3 linked regions of the Drosophila melanogaster genome follow. Changing the gene in region 1 together with any one later gene gives a genetic interaction. Each region holds a gene or a part of one and is shown on either strand. Other genes may lie near its edges.

Evidence for each region. A genetic interaction does not mean that the proteins touch.
Region 2: of dock (region 1) and ckn, changing one enhances a phenotype caused by changing the other (phenotypic enhancement), as found in Drosophila melanogaster (one study listed by BioGRID).
Region 3: of dock (region 1) and Pak, changing one suppresses a phenotype caused by changing the other (phenotypic suppression), as found in Drosophila melanogaster (2 studies listed by BioGRID).

Annotation. Positions count from the first base shown.
Region 1 is NT_033779.5:824,438-832,005, forward strand, and holds the start of dock (dreadlocks), read left to right. Parts: upstream 1-1,531; 5' UTR 1,532-2,070; intron 2,071-4,867; exon of another isoform or gene 4,868-5,019; 5' UTR 5,020-5,098; coding exon 5,099-5,534; intron 5,535-5,707; coding exon 5,708-5,912; intron 5,913-6,300; coding exon 6,301-6,646; intron 6,647-6,739; coding exon 6,740-7,189; intron 7,190-7,276; coding exon 7,277-7,486; 3' UTR 7,487-7,568. Other genes in the region: CG3862 (uncharacterized protein), read right to left, coding at 1-1,360. UniProt on the Drosophila melanogaster protein: Adapter protein that links cell surface receptor tyrosine phosphorylation to downstream signaling pathways and effectors, many of which are involved in regulation of the actin cytoskeleton.
Region 2 is NT_033778.4:14,961,591-14,966,301, forward strand, and holds the start of ckn (caskin), read left to right. Parts: upstream 1-1,701; 5' UTR 1,702-2,335; intron 2,336-4,093; exon of another isoform or gene 4,094-4,409; intron 4,410-4,711.
Region 3 is NT_033777.3:6,349,242-6,353,905, forward strand, and holds the start of Pak (p21-activated kinase), read left to right. Parts: upstream 1-1,654; 5' UTR 1,655-2,110; intron 2,111-3,881; exon of another isoform or gene 3,882-4,298; intron 4,299-4,664. Other genes in the region: Hr83 (hormone receptor 83), read left to right, coding at 2-626, 1,060-1,271.

The DNA.
Region 1 (7,568 bases):
AGAACGGCTTGCACAAGGCAATGGTGTGATCCACTCCGTAGGCCACTTTGGTGACCTTTCCGTTGATGGCCGCCTTAAAGGGAAAGAACTGGTCCTTCTTGTGTCCCAGCCCCAGATGCCCGAACCTGTTCTTGCCCCACATGAAGAGATCTCCGTCCGAGTTGACGGCGCCCATGTGAAACACTCCGCATCCGATGGAAACCACTGTGGTTTCGTTGCTGAAGTCATTTCGTCCGAATAAAGGCGGCAACAGATGCTGCGGCTTGGATGTTTGCTCCACGAAGGGTCCGAAGCCGAGGATGCCAAAGCCCCAGGTGTACACCAGACCCTGGTCGTTGAGGGCCATGCAAAATGAGCCTCCCGCAGCCACATCCTTGATTTTCCCGATGGACTTCGTTAGTTTGAGAGCTCTAGGGATATTTATTTGGGTTTCGGCCAGCTCTGAGTCATCTAGCTGTCCGTACTCAGAATTGCCCCAGCCAAAGGCATCGCCCGCCTCGTTAAGGGCCAAAACGCAGTCCGAGGAGCAGCTGAGCCGCACAATCTTCTCCTTTTCCACATCTCCTCCAATCAGGGTTATCTGCCCGGCGGTGTGGTAGTTTCCCTGACCTGTTTGACCATCCGCACCCCAGCCACATGTGTAAATGCGTCCCTTTTTGGTAAGAAACATGCTGTGGTCCTGGCCGCACTCCACCTGGACCACCTCATCCTCCTTGCCGCATATATCTTCCTGCGATATCCTGTGGATCAGGGCACTCTTGCTGTACCGCTCCTCCTCTATGATGGAGCGGCCACATTGGCCGTACGAATTGTTTCCCAGGGTGAAAATGGTTCCGTTTTGGGTCAGAACCACCAGGTGAGCTCTACCCGCCGACATGCTCTTCACACGCATGTCCTCGTCTGTTTCTCCCTGAACTCTCGGCAGTTTAATGGCTGTAGGATAAATGATCACGTCAAGGTTGGCCGGATCATTGGGATTTCCCTTCACCTGGAAACCCAGTTGGGAGTCGGTGTTCAAACCGCTGCCAAAGAGCGTCTCTCCGTCATCTCTATTCACGGCGTAGACCGTGAACCCGTAGCCGGCGGCCACATCCGTGATTTCGTTGTTGTTGGAGAACTGCAAGCGGGTGGGATGGTGCACCATCTCCGTGTAGCGTTCCTTGGCCTTCTTCACGTTGGTCTGGAGACCGAGAGCGCCGGTTTCCTGAAAGCCCCACACGTAAACTCGGTGCTCATGGCTGTCCGTCGTCTTCGGTGAGTACTCCTTGATCTTCGACTTGTCCTGCGCCAGCACACCCCTCTTCGCCTTGGCGGTGTACGACCTGCTGATGCCAAGCACAATACCCCGAGTTTTCAGCATGGTATTTCGGGTTAAACCAACCATGTAATCCAAAATCATAACAAAAACGCCACCCGATATCGATAGACCCGATGACCGGACAAGTGCTGCACAGCGCGCAACGTGCTTATCGATAGTTCGCTAAGAAAAACCGCTGATACGCCACCTGACAGCCCTGGTCGTGGTCAATCGCTATCGCCTTCCGCACATCGAAATCGGATGGGCGACGTGAAAGAAACGGCTCCGGCAAAATCATTAAAATTTAATTAGTTAACCGCAAGAGAGCGCTGCAAAATTGTGCAAACAATTTGCCACTTAACGCAGTTAACGTGTGCGGTAATCAGAAGCGTGGAAAAGCGTTTATTTGTCAGGATTTGTGTGTTTTTCAATCGCGGCAGCAGCATATGTACACACACACAGGCTCACCCCCGCCCCACTCACACACACACACTCACGCCTAGGTGTATTATAATTAAAGTTGTGTTTTAAGTGTGTGTAAAGTGCAATAGCCCAGTGGAAAGTGGAAGTGATATAGAGTGCGTTCCAGGAGTTCCAGGAGCAGTGTCTTATCCCATGTCTTCCACTCCCAAATCCTGAGGATTGCCAAGGGTTAAGACCGAGAAATACGGACTCCGACTTTCCGGATAAGGATACGGATACGGATAAGGAGTGCCAGGATAAGGAGATCCAGGAGGAATATAGGAGTTGCCAGTCCAACCGCTTCGTCTCCGGTAGGTACACACAAAATATTCGGCTGCTCCTTTTTAGCTCCTGTTCGAATCTCTCACGGCTCTCTCTCTCGGCTCTCTCTCTCTCTCTCTTGACCTGCGCTCTCTCTCTTTATCTCGCCCTCGTCACCTGGTGGTGCGTAGTCCTTTGGCTCGGTCCACCACCCGCCCAGTGGGCGGTGCTGCAACCCTTAGCCCTCCGCTTTCCATCACCTTTTTTTGGGTAACCATGGTCGTGTTTACGGCAAACTGTGCCACCGATATATATGTGTGTACATATGTACCCTTTCCCTTGTCTAGATAGATGAAACAGATAAATCGTGAAGATGCTTCACTTACCATAAATCTATAATATGTTCATTGCTCAAATACTACTATAGTAGGTACTTGTGTTTTTCAAAAGCCTGTGCCAGGTACAAAAGCTTGTACTCTTAACAACACTGGGAACGAGTCCTGCCATCCTTTGCAGGACGAGAAGTCCACCCTCTCGCTGCCAAAAAGCCACCACCTCGCAGAGATTTTGCGCAGCATCTCTAAACGAAACGGCCGGCAAATGTCGCAAACTCCCTCGGCAACAAAAGCCAAAAAAAAAATACAAAATACAAAAAACAAAACCGAAACCGAAACCCCATTCGAATCCCATTCCCCAGCAAAAGCATCTACTTAATCAACCCGGGCGGGAGTGGACTCCCAGCTCCCTGAATGAGTGATCTTATGTAAACAGGCTGCCCTTTGCCTCCCACGCCCCGAGATCCAGATAAGAGTGCCCCACTTTCAGTTCCTCCATGGCTGCCCCATCCATCCACCGAAGTCGTAACTCAATGTTATAGACCCAAATGCTCCCGTTTCGGGGCCACCAATTCGTTCGTGATGGCTTTTCTTGGGGACCAATGACTATACTCCCTCGTCTGGAACCGATCTTCAACCAATACACAGACACAGCACGGGGAAACAAACTTTCCGCCTCATAAACTTGTGGGCTTGTCCCCCAAGCACGTGCAACTCTTTCTTTCTCTCAGCGAAAAGACGAACTGCTGTCAGGAAAACAATGAACGAGTGCACCGGAAAAAAACATAAATGTTTGTCATACGGGAAGCTAAGAAATCATACCACAAAGAATTCTTTAAAAATATATATTCATTTATTGCAGTAGCAGTAGGGAATCTTATCAAATCATAGTTCATAATATATTTTTTGACAATTTCTCCGCGCTAACGAACTTATCAGCAAGTTCCTTCCGATTTCTTCGGATTTTATCAGCAGTGTAATGTCAATGTCTCGGCTGTTGGGCTTATGCAAGCGCAAACAATAACAAAACAATCACCAAGCCAAAGAAATCCAAACACCGATCCGAATCCAACGGTGGTGCATTTCAGTTCATTGGCAGCCAGCCAGCCAGCCAGGCGTTTCATGTTTACCAAGTCCCCAAGCGAACCGAACTGAACCGCCCCCTTATCACTCCAGCATTTGCATAAATATAATCTTTTTCGGGTTCTTTCTCCGTTTCTATCTGGGTTCGGTTACGGTTTCACTCCCGCTTTCTCCTCTCAAAAAATAGGGAAAACACACAGACAATTCGCACAACAGTGAATCACTTTGCGACCAATGCTTCGGTTAAACAGGTACTTCTCCGTATCTCTAGCTAACGCAAAAACCTTTGACTAATCGATGGTAAAGTAAACAAAAACACTCGTTATCACATGGAGATTATTATGGCCAAAATTCGAACAGGAAGCACGATTAGAAGTTTACCGGCAAAACAAATTTATGCATTGCCTGCATTTCTTATTATATACGTATGGGTCAGTTGCTAATAGATATTGCACCGAAATGCCAGAATTGAATGGCATTAGAGCTCTCGAAAACACTTTCAGCTGACTCAGCCTCTCGTGTATGACCTAACAGTCATTGAAAAGCGAAACCAAGATTGGCCTAGAGTCAAAGACCGAGTAGAGCGTTTTCTCAACGTGGCCCACACTTATTGATTTTTAATTATCCAAAGATGGCCCTCGGCTATGACATTGACTTTGATTTTGTTGGCTCGCCAACCTGGCCAACGAACTCGGGAAGCCTCTCTAGAGATCTCTGGCCGAAATAACCTTCTGTGCCGCCCGCTAACTGCCTTATGTCACTCGGTAAATCTCGGTTAAGAAACCAATTTCCCAATACCCCCGACCATTCACGTTCGTGACTCATTGCGGTCGAATGTCTCAGTTGATTTCTGTGTCTTTCTTGGCCTGAAATGGCCCGGATTTTGAGTCTCTGGTTCTCCAGCCTCGGTGAGGCTGCCCCGTTGAACAAATCAATACCCGATGGCCACTTATTCGCTCGCCTGGCAATTGGATTCAATTGAGTGGAGTCAGTCGGAGGCAACTTTCACTTGCACAGATTTTAATTGCCCCACAACTGGAATGGCCAGATCCCTCAGCCCCCATATCCATCTCCCGCTCATATTATCATCATCATGATCATCACAACACAAACACTTCACTCATTCATCTTCATCGCCGGCTCGCTGACCCCAAAAACAAACATTCATCTCTCGGCTAATTTTGAGTTGATTTCCTATTTGGTATTTCGAGTTTGAGTACTTGCATTGTATTTTTTAAGCTAATCATTTTTACGCTCTTTAGCTTCTTCAGTGCGAAACAATTAAGCCTAATTTGCATATATCATTTGCTCTCTTTTTCTTTCTTTCTTCGTTCGTTGCTTATGTTATTGCGTTGCTTATGTTTACTTTGCCACGCCTACGCTTCCGCCCACGCTCACGCCCATTCGCCCCCTGAAACCACGCCCACAGCAATTATGCATTGGCTAGAGGCGATTTGCAGCAAGCTTAGAGTGCCAGCGAGCAACTGCAACACATAACCAAACCATCAAAGACTTGTTGTTCATCAACTCCAACCCCAACTCCAAGTCCACCAACACTGAGCCACCGCCTCTTGCCTCCAGGAGCATCACCAGGAGCATCAGGGCAGTCCCAGCTGGAGGAGCAGGAATCCCCCCGCGGCGGAGGAGCAGCCAGTCTGGAATGTTGGAACACCCCCAGCGGTTTGTGCGCAACATCCCCGACTCCTCAGCCAGTTCGCAGCAGTATCCGCAGCAGCAGCAGCATCCGCCACAGCTGCCGCAGCACCAGAATCTGAATCTCAACCAGAATCAGAACCTGAACCAGAATCAGATCTACCAGTACCGTCCCCAGGTGCCCGTGCCCGTTCCCGGCTCACCTGCCCATCACCAGCGGCACTCTTCGCTCTCCCAGCAACAGCAGTTGCACCACCACCGCACCCTGTCCACCGCCTCCTCCTGCAGCGCCCAGCACAAAAGTGTGACCTTCGGCCAGCCAGCGCTCGACTGCGGCGGCAACGGCAGCGGAAGCGCCAACGGAAGCGGTAGCGGCAACTCCTCCAGTGGCAGTGCCGCCGGCAACGCTGGAACCCAATCAATGGCGGGCAACATGAAGCACGGTGAGCAACTGCAACACAATAACCTCACAGCGAGAAGAGCATTGGGTGTAGTAAAAGGATCTAGGATTTGTATGCTAATGAATTTGTGGTTCTATCATACTGGCCCATTTTGCTTTTCTAACTGTGTGTGCACTTGGTACTCTTCTAACCTGTTCCTGTTAATCACTCCGCAGGCAAATCTCAGGACGACGTCTGCTACGTGGTAGCCAAGTACGACTATGCGGCGCAGGGTGCCCAGGAGCTGGATCTGCGCAAGAACGAGCGCTACCTGCTGCTGGACGACTCCAAGCACTGGTGGCGCGTCCAGAACAGTCGCAACCAGTCCGGCTACGTGCCAAGCAACTATGTGAAGAAGGAGAAGCCCTCGCTCTTCGACAGGTGCGTCAGATTCCTGGCCCGACTAAACCTAAGCGTTCTTCTTGCTCTGATTTCAGCAGAATTAAGCCCTCTATACCTGTATCTGTATCCGTATCCGTAGATGTATCTGTATCTCTATCGCGTTCAAATACCCGCCTCCACCTTTTGCTTTGGCTATCGTAATTTAACTTATAACTGCTTTCGGCTTTTGTATTTTGTATTTCAAAACAACAAATTCGTTTTGATTTCGTTGTCTGTCGAGCCCCACTTGCCCCTAAAAACTAAAGATCCACTAACACCCAAACCAACTAGGGCTAGTCTAACCCACTTTAAACCGCCAATGAAATCTAACCATAAAACTTCATCCCAATACTGATCGTGAATATTTTGATTTACGATTTCTGTGCAGCATTAAGAAGAAGGTGAAAAAGGGCTCCGGATCGAAGACACTGCCTAATTGTTCGCCTTCGCGACAGGTCGAGAGTCCAACCATGTCGCGCCGACTTCCCCCAGATCCCGCAGAGGCCATCGGAACGGCTGTGGTCAAGTATAACTATCAGGCCCAGCAGCCCGATGAACTTTCGCTGACCAAGGGCACACGAATCCTCATCCTGGAGAAGTCCAACGATGGATGGTGGCGTGGACAGAGCGGCAATTCCGTCGGCTGGTTCCCCAGCAACTACACAACGGAGGATTGTGATAACGACGGCGAGATCCACACCTACGCAATGGCCGAGAACGTGCTTGATATTGTGGTGAGTAACTGGACGTGTTCTCAAAATAAACATTCACATCATCTATGAGAGGTTGTCATTATTGGCTAATAACAACTATTTTCAAATATATAGGTCGCGCTGTACAGCTTCACGTCAAACAACGACCAGGAGCTCTCGTTCGAGAAGGGCGATCGCTTGGAGATCGTGGATCGGCCCGCCTCCGATCCGGACTGGTACAAAGCTCGCAACAATCAGGGCCAAGTCGGTTTAGTTCCACGCAATTATCTCCAAGAGTTGAACGACTACCTGGCCACGCCCTATCGTAATGCGAGTGCCAGTGCAGGAAACGGAAATGGAGGAGGAAGTAATGGCGGCGCAGGTGGTGGCGGAGGAAACGACTCCATGGAGCGGCGCAATGAGGGTAATAAGCCGGCGGCGCAATCTTCCGGCCAGCCAATCGAGCGGCCAAATCTGGCGGGCAAGTCGTGGTATTATGGAGCCATCACCCGCAGCCAGTGCGACACGGTGCTCAACGGCCACGGGCACGATGGCGACTTCCTCATCAGAGACAGTGAGACTAACGTAAGTGGAATTCGCAATTGAAGTGCCATAACATAGTTCCGCCCGAATTCTTTGAGAGTGTATAAACGAATTCATCCTTTCTTGCAGATGGGAGACTATTCGGTTTCGTTAAAGGCCCCAGGGCGCAACAAGCACTTCCGCGTGCACGTGGAGCAGAACATGTACTGCATTGGGCAGAGGAAGTTCCACTCGCTGGACCAACTGGTCGATCACTACCAAAGAGCGCCCATCTACACGAATAAGCAGGGCGAAAAGCTGTATCTGGTGCGATCGCTGCCGAAGGCCAATGGCACGTAAGCAGGTCCAGGACTGGAGCAGAGAAATCTCAGCATTCATATTACCCGTATTCAACAACACACATATGCAACACAAAGATATA
Region 2 (4,711 bases), on another chromosome or scaffold:
TGTTGCGAATCTCGTAGCACAGCTCCTCGTATGAGATATTCTTGTTGATGGTGGTAATGATAATCTGGCCATTGTAGGCGGTCTTTACCGTTATACTATTGGGCGTATTGGCCATGTTCATACTGGCGCTATTCAAGCTGACGCTGCTGCCGTCGTTCAGAATTTGCGAGGGCATTTTCTGCATTTGCTAGCTGGGTAAAATATTTTGATATCACGTAACACACAGAGACAAACAGATTGATAACAGAAAACTGCAAAAATAAGAGTAAATAGATACGAGTTAAAAACGAAGCGGTTTACAGTAAAATAAATTAAAAAGACATTTTACAATTACAAATTAAGCTAAAAGTAAGTTTTATTTTCTAGTTTAAATAAAAAAATATATTTTAATAAACTATTAGTGGCGAAATATATTTATATTTATACATTGACTGAACTTTTTTAAGGATTTGTTATTTTGTAGAAGCTTAACTGTAAAGTGTCGTAGCATTATCTTCAGAATCTGATAGATAAACGAACTTATGAATTTCTATTGCTCTCTCTGTTATCGTTTTCTCTTTGCCCACGAATTTGAAATCCCGCCCAAAACCAAATGTCAACTTTGACATTTGAGGCACACACACACATACGCAGACGCCAAACGAACTGCATGCCACAGGTAGTTGTTGTTGCTTGCGCTGCACCAAATGCGTAGACGTTGATAAAACGAATAAGACAAAACAAACGCGAGTGAATCATGCAAAACGCCCACAAAACAATAAAAGAAGAAAAGTAAGTGGAATTAGCACGCCAAAGCGAGTGTGCAAATTAGTTTATTTTTACTCCTCGCCTCTCCTTCTTTCACCGCTTACTTGGCATCTCAGTACTTAAGTATTTGAGCGTAATTAATGCCGTACATTGACCAAGGTAACTGTTAAAAGTACCCAGTTGGCCGCAACAACAATAGTGCAACAAATGAGCGAGAAAGAGAGAGAGTGGAGGCAGGGCATCGAGAGCGAGCAGGAGAGTCGCCAACCTGTTTTAACTCATTAGCATTTTTCAATTAAGACGCCGCTTTTTTAACATTAACACTTTTAATAAGCTTAAGCTTAGTAATCGACTCACACTGGTTCCTTTAGTTTATTTAACCACAAAAAGTATGCACAAAACGCCGCACAAATATAACACAGGGGACAAATCAAACAGCACGAAACATTTAAATTAAAGCCAATCAGTGCGCCACATACATTTTAATTAAGACACTGGCACTCGCACTCGTTTAATTAATTGTTATGGCTAAAACGAATTAAAACTAACATTGCTATTTCTCCGTTTATTTCGTTGTGGAAGGAGAGCACAAAGCGGAGAACGCGAAGTGACAGCACAGAAAATACCGACAAGGGAGTGCTGCAAGTGCCTCAATAATAACATGTTTACCAACACTGCTAGGGGTCGTTTTTAAATAATTGGTATTTTTGAGCTTCCACACCGGTTTCAGGGGTGGAAAACAATTATGACCGGTGATAAATGAAAAAGTTGTACGTACAACACTATTTAAAGCAAAAATACAAAAGACATTATTTTTTGATGATTATAACATCAACTTCAAAACACAAACTGAGCAGATGACCCAAAAATACTAAAACATCGATACGTCAATACTTTGTGTGCAATCGATGTTTTATTAATGAGGTATTTTCCAACAGCCACGCTGCGATCACACTAAGTTTTGTTTTCGTTTTTCCGCTGTTCGGACGTTTGTAGCGGAAACCCGTTCTTTTGTCGTTAGATTCAAAAACGAAATATATCACAAGTACGGATATCACAACAAAGTAAAGTGATTATAATTACAAAGTAAGAAAGCAGTGCTTAATATATCTGAGAAAATAAAAAAAATAAATAAAACTCAACAAATTGCCACAAAAGAAAATGGCGGCTCAGCAAATAAAAAAGAGCACTCGCGACCACAACAACTGAGCAAGAAATTCAGCTTAAAAGAAACCAACAAAAAAAAAAGCGTCAACATTTTCGTCTGCCTGAAATTAATCTGGTTTTTATGTTTTACTCGCGCGTCGTAGACATAAAATAAAGACAACAAACAGTGAGTTTTGGTGCGAGTGGATGTGTCTGCGTGCGTTTGATGCCGTTTGTTAGTCTCTTGTTTTTGTGGAAAAAACCATAAAAAACGTGAAATTCATTAAGCTACAAAAGCAACAATTACGAGCGTTTTACATTGTTTACATTTTGTGTGCCAGCTTTCGTTACGCTTGTGATTTATGTGATTTGTCGAACGGTAAGAGGAGGAGCGGAGAGAACTTAGCCAAAAGCCTGGAAAATAGTAATATTATCTGCTAACGTAAGTTTATAATATGTACACTTAATTACGTTTACACTTAAATGGGTCTTGGTGTTTTTGGTACATTTCGGACAGGCGGCAACTCTTTTTTGTGTTTTTATTTTGATGCGGCCTTCGTCCTGCGCTGCCTGCGTCGACGTCGGCGTCGCCATCTGTCACTTATGAGGGTTGCCAGCTGTTTCGATGCGCCTTGTATTCAATGCGGCATCTTTAGCATCTGCAGGAAATTGGGTTTTCAACAAAAAAATAGAGGAAACAAAAGACAATCAGGAGGAGGGGTACTCACGACTGCAGCTGCCGCTGTTTAGGCTTATGTAATTAATAAACGAACACGTGTCTGGCATTGCGAACGACACGTGACAACTCTGGTCGTGAGTAGTGGGAGTGTAATAAAACTTAAAGTCTTGTTCTTTATTGTTTTCCTTTTTTTTTATTAATTCTCCGTTTGCATAATTGTCCCTTGCCATAATTAAAATCGAGACCAGCGCTCTACGTAAATTTTTTCTGCTCTTTGGCTGTTATAGCTCAGATTGCGCCATAAAACTCATATAAATCAATAGAAAGCGCAGCAGTACACACTTACACACACACAGCCGGAAAAACCATAACTCACTTGCCATAATAAAACGAGTGAGAGCGAGATAGCTGGAGATGTAGAGAGAGTCCGCGCTCAATATGCAGAGATTTGTGTGGGAATCAAATGACTTGATGTCGTTGTCTCCAATGAAGTGTTAGAATAACGGTTGGGGAGGGGAGTCGGGCGGCAATGGCTCCACCAAGAGATTAGAGGCAGAGAAAGAGAGCGAGAGCATGCAGCTGCGCGGTTCTCAAATAGAGTTACCGCCGATGGAGCCTCGCTCGCTCTTGCGCTCTCTCCCCAAGTGGCTCCATCTCTCTATTTCTCTTATTGCCTTGTGCGGCATGAAAAGTGGTTGTGCTTGGTTCATTCGCTTGTGTGTGTGTGTGTGTGTGTGTGTGCGTGCCTCGGTTTGTTTGTCTTTTGCGTGGCATTCAACGCACAGTGGGACAGATAAGGAGATTATCAATTGCTGTCCCCACTCCCTCTCATTAATCTTCTCGCTGCAATGGAAAAGTAAACCAAGTTGAACGATCTATTAATATCTTACAACTTGAAGTTATATATAGGAACATTGAACGTATAAATAGGGCTCTATCTTTTTGAAGCCCAACTTAATATGTTCAATCTTTATATAGTATCTAATATTTACATATGTATATAGTATCTTACAGTTTGGGTACTTTAGGGCTTTAGCAGAACTTCGGTGAACTTCTTGTAGCCGCCTTCAGTAAGCGGTTCCACTGTGCCAAGTGCATTTCCATCGTTGCCAATGGCAACCACTTTAGGGAATAATGCTTGTGCCTGCTTATTGAAGCTACGCTTTGTTTTCCCATTTCTCTTTCACTACCGCCTTTCCCTCGGTCCCCCTTTTCATTCATTTATTAACTAACTAATTTGCCAGGCCCGAAACAAATTGCCCAGCGGAATTGTTATTGTTTCAATTGCAACAAATTGGCCGCTGAGAAAAATGGTTTTCTCTCCTTGCAAGAGAATGATAGAAAGGAAGGGGAGGGGAAGGGGAGGACAAGTACAAGTACAAGTTGCGCATTCGCTCTCCTTTGGAGCTCGCTCAGCTGGCTCGCTCTCTCTGTCTCTCTCACTTACAACTTCGAGGACTCCGGACTCCAATCGGATTTTACGGACCTGGCTTTAATGCTCGAATGCTGGAGCCGCGATTCAATACGCTTTGGCTTGCGGTCGTCGGCGCTTCTCTTTTTTCGGGCTCCTCTCGCTCGGGGTCTGCGATTCTCCAATTCTCAACACACAGCTACTTTTCTGCTCGGTATATGTCCGCGCGCGCGTGTGTGTGTGTATGTGTGTGAGTTTGAGTGCGTGCATGTGTGTGTTGGTGTTAACGTAAAAAGAAATTTTTGCACAGCATTTATCGTATGAAAAATCAATTGGTATCTTGGTGAAAACCGCAGTTAATGTGAATTTTAAGTGTCATCATTGGATTCGCATAGAAATCTCGAAGGAATTCATCATTTTAACATGGTAATTTGCATATTTTTTGCACAGTTGTTCTGCAAAATCGTACGCATGTGTGCGTGTGACTACGTTTCGTGGTGTGTGTGTGCGTAGTAGTAAGCCGCATACGATTTTTCGCCGAAAATTGTAGGCGGTGGGCGGGGCAAAAGGCAAGTGCCTTAAAAAAGTCTCAAAACGTTCAATTTAGCTGTAAAACGCTGAGCACTACCCTTCATTATTAATGACTACACCGAAAAAAAGTAGTTTAAGCCATATAAATTGGTAAATGGTTCTAGTATTATATATGCCAGTTACTCTCAAAATTCATA
Region 3 (4,664 bases), on another chromosome or scaffold:
CATGTCGAACTTCAGTGCCTGCGCAGTGTGCGGCGATCAGAGCTCCGGGAAGCACTACGGCGTGTCCTGCTGCGATGGGTGCTCCTGCTTTTTCAAGCGGAGCGTGCGGCGCGGGAGCAGCTACGCCTGCATCGCTCTGGTCGGGAACTGTGTGGTGGACAAGGCGCGGCGGAACTGGTGTCCCTCCTGCCGCTTCCAGCGATGCCTGGCCGTGGGAATGAACGCTGCTGCGGTTCAGGAGGAGCGCGGTCCGCGCAACCAGCAGGTGGCTCTCTACCGCACTGGCCGGAGACAAGCTCCGCCATCTCAGGCGGCGCCATCCCCGACGCCCCACTCCCAGGCGCTGCACTTCCAGATCCTCGCCCAGATCCTTGTCACGTGCCTGCGCCAGGCGAAGGCCAACGAGCAGTTCGCTCTGTTGGATCGCTGCCAACAAGACGCCATCTTTCAGGTGGTGTGGAGCGAGATCTTCGTCCTGCGAGCGTCCCACTGGTCTCTGGACATCAGCGCCATGATCGACGGCTGCGGCGATGAGCAGCTCAAACGGCTCATTTGCGAGGCCCACCAGCTAAGGGCCGACGTCCTGGAACTCAACTTTATGGAGTCCCTAATCCTGTGCAGAAAAGGTAAAGCTCCGCCTGTGCGGTAAAAAGGCTTGTTAGGATTTAAAAATAAAAGCGGTTTGAAGCCATCTAACCAATTTTCAATGTTTTTACACATATTGACGTGATTTCTTAGACGAAAATTTAAATCCTATGTACGCTATGTATAGATTTTGCTATTTGATTCTGCATGAAAGAGTACACCCAAGCAGTTTTCTTAACCCCAGAAAAAACGTTTCCGTTTTGGGCTTAATAAATTCAAAAGAAAATTTTCCAGCATGTGCAGTTGGTTTGTTTGAACCAACCATAAAATTTGATTAGATTCAAGATTAGAGACAGATTTAAGACCTTTTACATCGTTTTAATTTAATTAAGAGTTTAATAGGAAGTCAAACCACCATTAGTATATCCCATTTTAATACTTTTAATTGCTTATATCGATTGCATGTTTTTACAGAATTGGCCATCAATGCGGAGTATGCCGTTATCCTGGGAAGCCACTCTAAAGCCGCCCTGATCTCCTTAGCCCGCTACACCCTGCAGCAATCCAACTACCTGCGGTTCGGACAACTGCTCCTTGGTCTGAGGCAGCTGTGCCTGAGGCGCTTCGACTGCGCGCTTTCTTGTATGTTTCGCAGCGTGGTCAGGGACATCTTAAAAACACTTTAGGCTCATATCTATCTTCATCTTTCAAAATTAAAGAAAAACCTAGTCTTAAAGAGGGTACTAGATAATGGCTGTTTTTCTGTTCGCCAGTTCAAACATCTAAAGTAACTTCGCTATCTGAAGTTTCAACCCATATCTAAAAATGCATTCATTTCTGTCAACAATCGTTCATGGAGGCATTTAGACACGCCCCAAACTTTATTGGCACTATGCAATTTGTTGGAAATAAAAATATTTGGAACAAAGAGATTATTATGAACTCAAAATTTGATGTGGTATTTTTTGAAAAACACTTTTTCAAAGGTCGCCAATCACAATACAAAAAACTCATCGATATGTTGTGAAAAGTCACGGAGCGAATATATTCGTTTCTGTTCGCTATCGATATATTGATATATTTTTGCCATCGCTACATTGTCTGCTGCGGCCGTCTTGTCGTCTTTCTGTAATTATTTTTCGTAGTTAACAAACCCCTGAATAATGTAAACCAATTAGTGGGTGATGCAAGGACCGAAAATGCGCGCGCGTTGCTAAAGAAGCTAGAAAGCGAGAAAGTTTGCGGAGCGCCATAAGATTGCTGCGCTTTAACTGCTGCTGGTGCCTCTCGTCCGTCGGCCATTTATGACACACACCAGAGAAAACTGGAAAACAATACAGTGTGTGTGCGGTTTGGAGTGTGTGCGAGTGCGGCCAAGTGTTGTGGGCTCGGAAAACTCCAAGAAGCCAGTGGAGAAGTGGTGTCCACGCGAATCCGTGAATCGCAAGCGTTTCTTCTTCGACTGCAAGCGGCGTACAGGGTGCACCGTGCAAAAGAAAGGCAGCCAAGGCATATTGTACTTGCAGTGAGTTCAAGTGGAGAGTGGTGGCCGAGTGGAGCGGGTAGAATGGTCTTGTGGAGAGCGGGGCGAGGGAGTTTCATTCATAAAAAGAGAGTGCACCGTTAGTCCAATTGGTCTGGCTTCCAATGCACAGACAAGCACACACACACCGCCTAAGGAGAGGTTGCACACATTGATTTTTCCAACTCACGTGTGTGTGTGTGCGTGTATGTGGATTAAAGGAAAACGTTTCAAGTGGTTTCCACGCCACATTATTTTGGATTAGCACATTGCTGCTCCCGAATTTCCAGCCCAAAAATAAAGCAACCAAATGTCAACAAGCTGGAATGCCCCAATGCCCCTTCCCCCGCTATTAACACACGTGACACGATACAAGACATTTACATAAAGCTCTAATAACTAACAACATTTCGCAGTCGATTTGGCATTTAACAGTTACCGCTCTAACGGCACATGTCCAGTGCGCCAGTGCACCACCCCCTTCCTTCGTTCAACGAAAAACATATTTGCTTAGCACGGTCACAGGTAAAAGCGGAAGGGACAGGGACGCGCGGAAGCGGTCGCGGTAGGGAACTGAAAAGAGGAATATAAAAGGCATAACATTTCCGCCTGCTGCTTTCGGCTGGCGTCCGCAACCAAAATAGACAACGTCGGAGCGGCTGAGAGTCTCCGTCGCCAGCAGTTATGCGTGGCAACTCGCTAAATATGCACCGACCATAATCATCGTATCATTTTTAATGCTTACATTTTGTATATTGATACTAAGATAACTTACTTAAAGTCTTCGGACAGCAGAAGGTGATCTTCGTCATGTTTTGGCTTCATATTTATACAGCAATCCTCGGAAAAATTGCGTAAAATGAATTCCATGAATAAATTCTTAAGTTTAGTTTTAATAGAAAGTTAACATAAAGCAGTCGTCAAAGTAATCAAGAAGCTTGATCACAAACTTTGGCTCCGCGTAAACGTGGCGAAGAAGTATGCATATGTTTGTGGCTTCTTTCAGCTCTTGGAGCGAGCGCCACGTTTGCGTCGCTGTTGTTGCAACATGCACCTAGGCCTGCGTCACTTTGAATGTCCTACCCTCCTCCCTTCCGCTCCCCTGCGTTTGACAACCCCTGTCGCTAATTTAAATGCCGCAAGTGTTGTCGAGTTTCCTGTGCCTACAATGTGTGTTTTTCTCATTAGGGAATAATTTTGCATGGGCCCCTGCAGAAAGAAAAACATTTTTTATCGATTTTACCTAAAGTTCGACCGTCAATGAAATCAAACACAATGCGGTACATCGTTAACCCAGTTCTGGGCGCCCACACGCTCCCGAAAAGTTTGTTCTTGCTTGATTTAAAAACGAATTTTCACCTATGTGTGTATGTTTGCATGCATATTATATGTACATACATATATACGTTTATAGATCTCTGGGCAAGCAGCCAGTAAACCAACGTATGCCCATAAAGCCTATAGTACAGATATACAGTTGCGGTCAAGAATATATCACACAGCAAGTTTACTACTTTCTATTTGTCGATACTCCTTTACTTTTTATCTTAAATTCAGTATGTATCGACATACATACATATGTAATTGAAATCAACGAGCGTATCTATTGAGTAAACAATCTACTTACATCGGTGAATTTAAAAACAATTAGCAAGAAAACATTGCACTTGATAAATTGGGGTAGAAAGGTAATGTCGGAATGAACCGCATGACACATAATGATTTGGGTATTTTATCCTATGATTCTCTTATATACTTATGTACACATATATGTACATATATTGGTCACTAAGAACCCTTTTTTCTGATGATTCAAAAGTTGGAGTTGATATCTTATTAGATCCCCGCTATGCTATTAAGTTGACCACAGCTGTTGGAACTGTATGTTAATGTTTGTCCAACGTTTTCACACTTCGCCACCCCCTCGTCCCAGACTCTCCGCCTCCCGTTAGCTGCATTGACTCTTGACGCCTGACGATGATAAATGAATCATAAAAGCAGCGCAGTCGACGTCGCCGGCAAAGCAGACAGGCGCCAAAGCCGCCTTGCTCTCCTCGCCACTCTGCGCTCCCACTCCTTTTCGCCCTCTCGCTCATATGTTTGGCTGCGATGCCGCCCACTCGAGTGTGTTTATGTTGTTGCTGTCCTCGCTGCTTAATTTCCTCATTTGTGTTGCTGTAATTCCCAATGCGTGAGCTGCTTTGTTTTTATTATGAGTGCAATCGAAGCCACTCTTGTTATCGCAACGAATTTTTTATGGCTCTCGATCGTTTACGTGGGCGAGAGCGGAGCAACTGAGGTAGAGAGGATACCCTTAAAGTGTGTTGTGTGAGAACAGTGGTTTGCGTCTAATGGAAACTGAAATTAAAATATAGTCCTTTAATGATTATTCCATTTTGGGTCATATTTTTTAACTCCATATGCTCTATAGGTGCTCCAATGAATATTTAAAATAAATGAACTAAAAGTGAATAGATGTGGGTATACAATTATGATCAATGCACACTTAACTTAAATAGGATAATATTTTAAGTTCCTCACATAGATGCGCAATAAT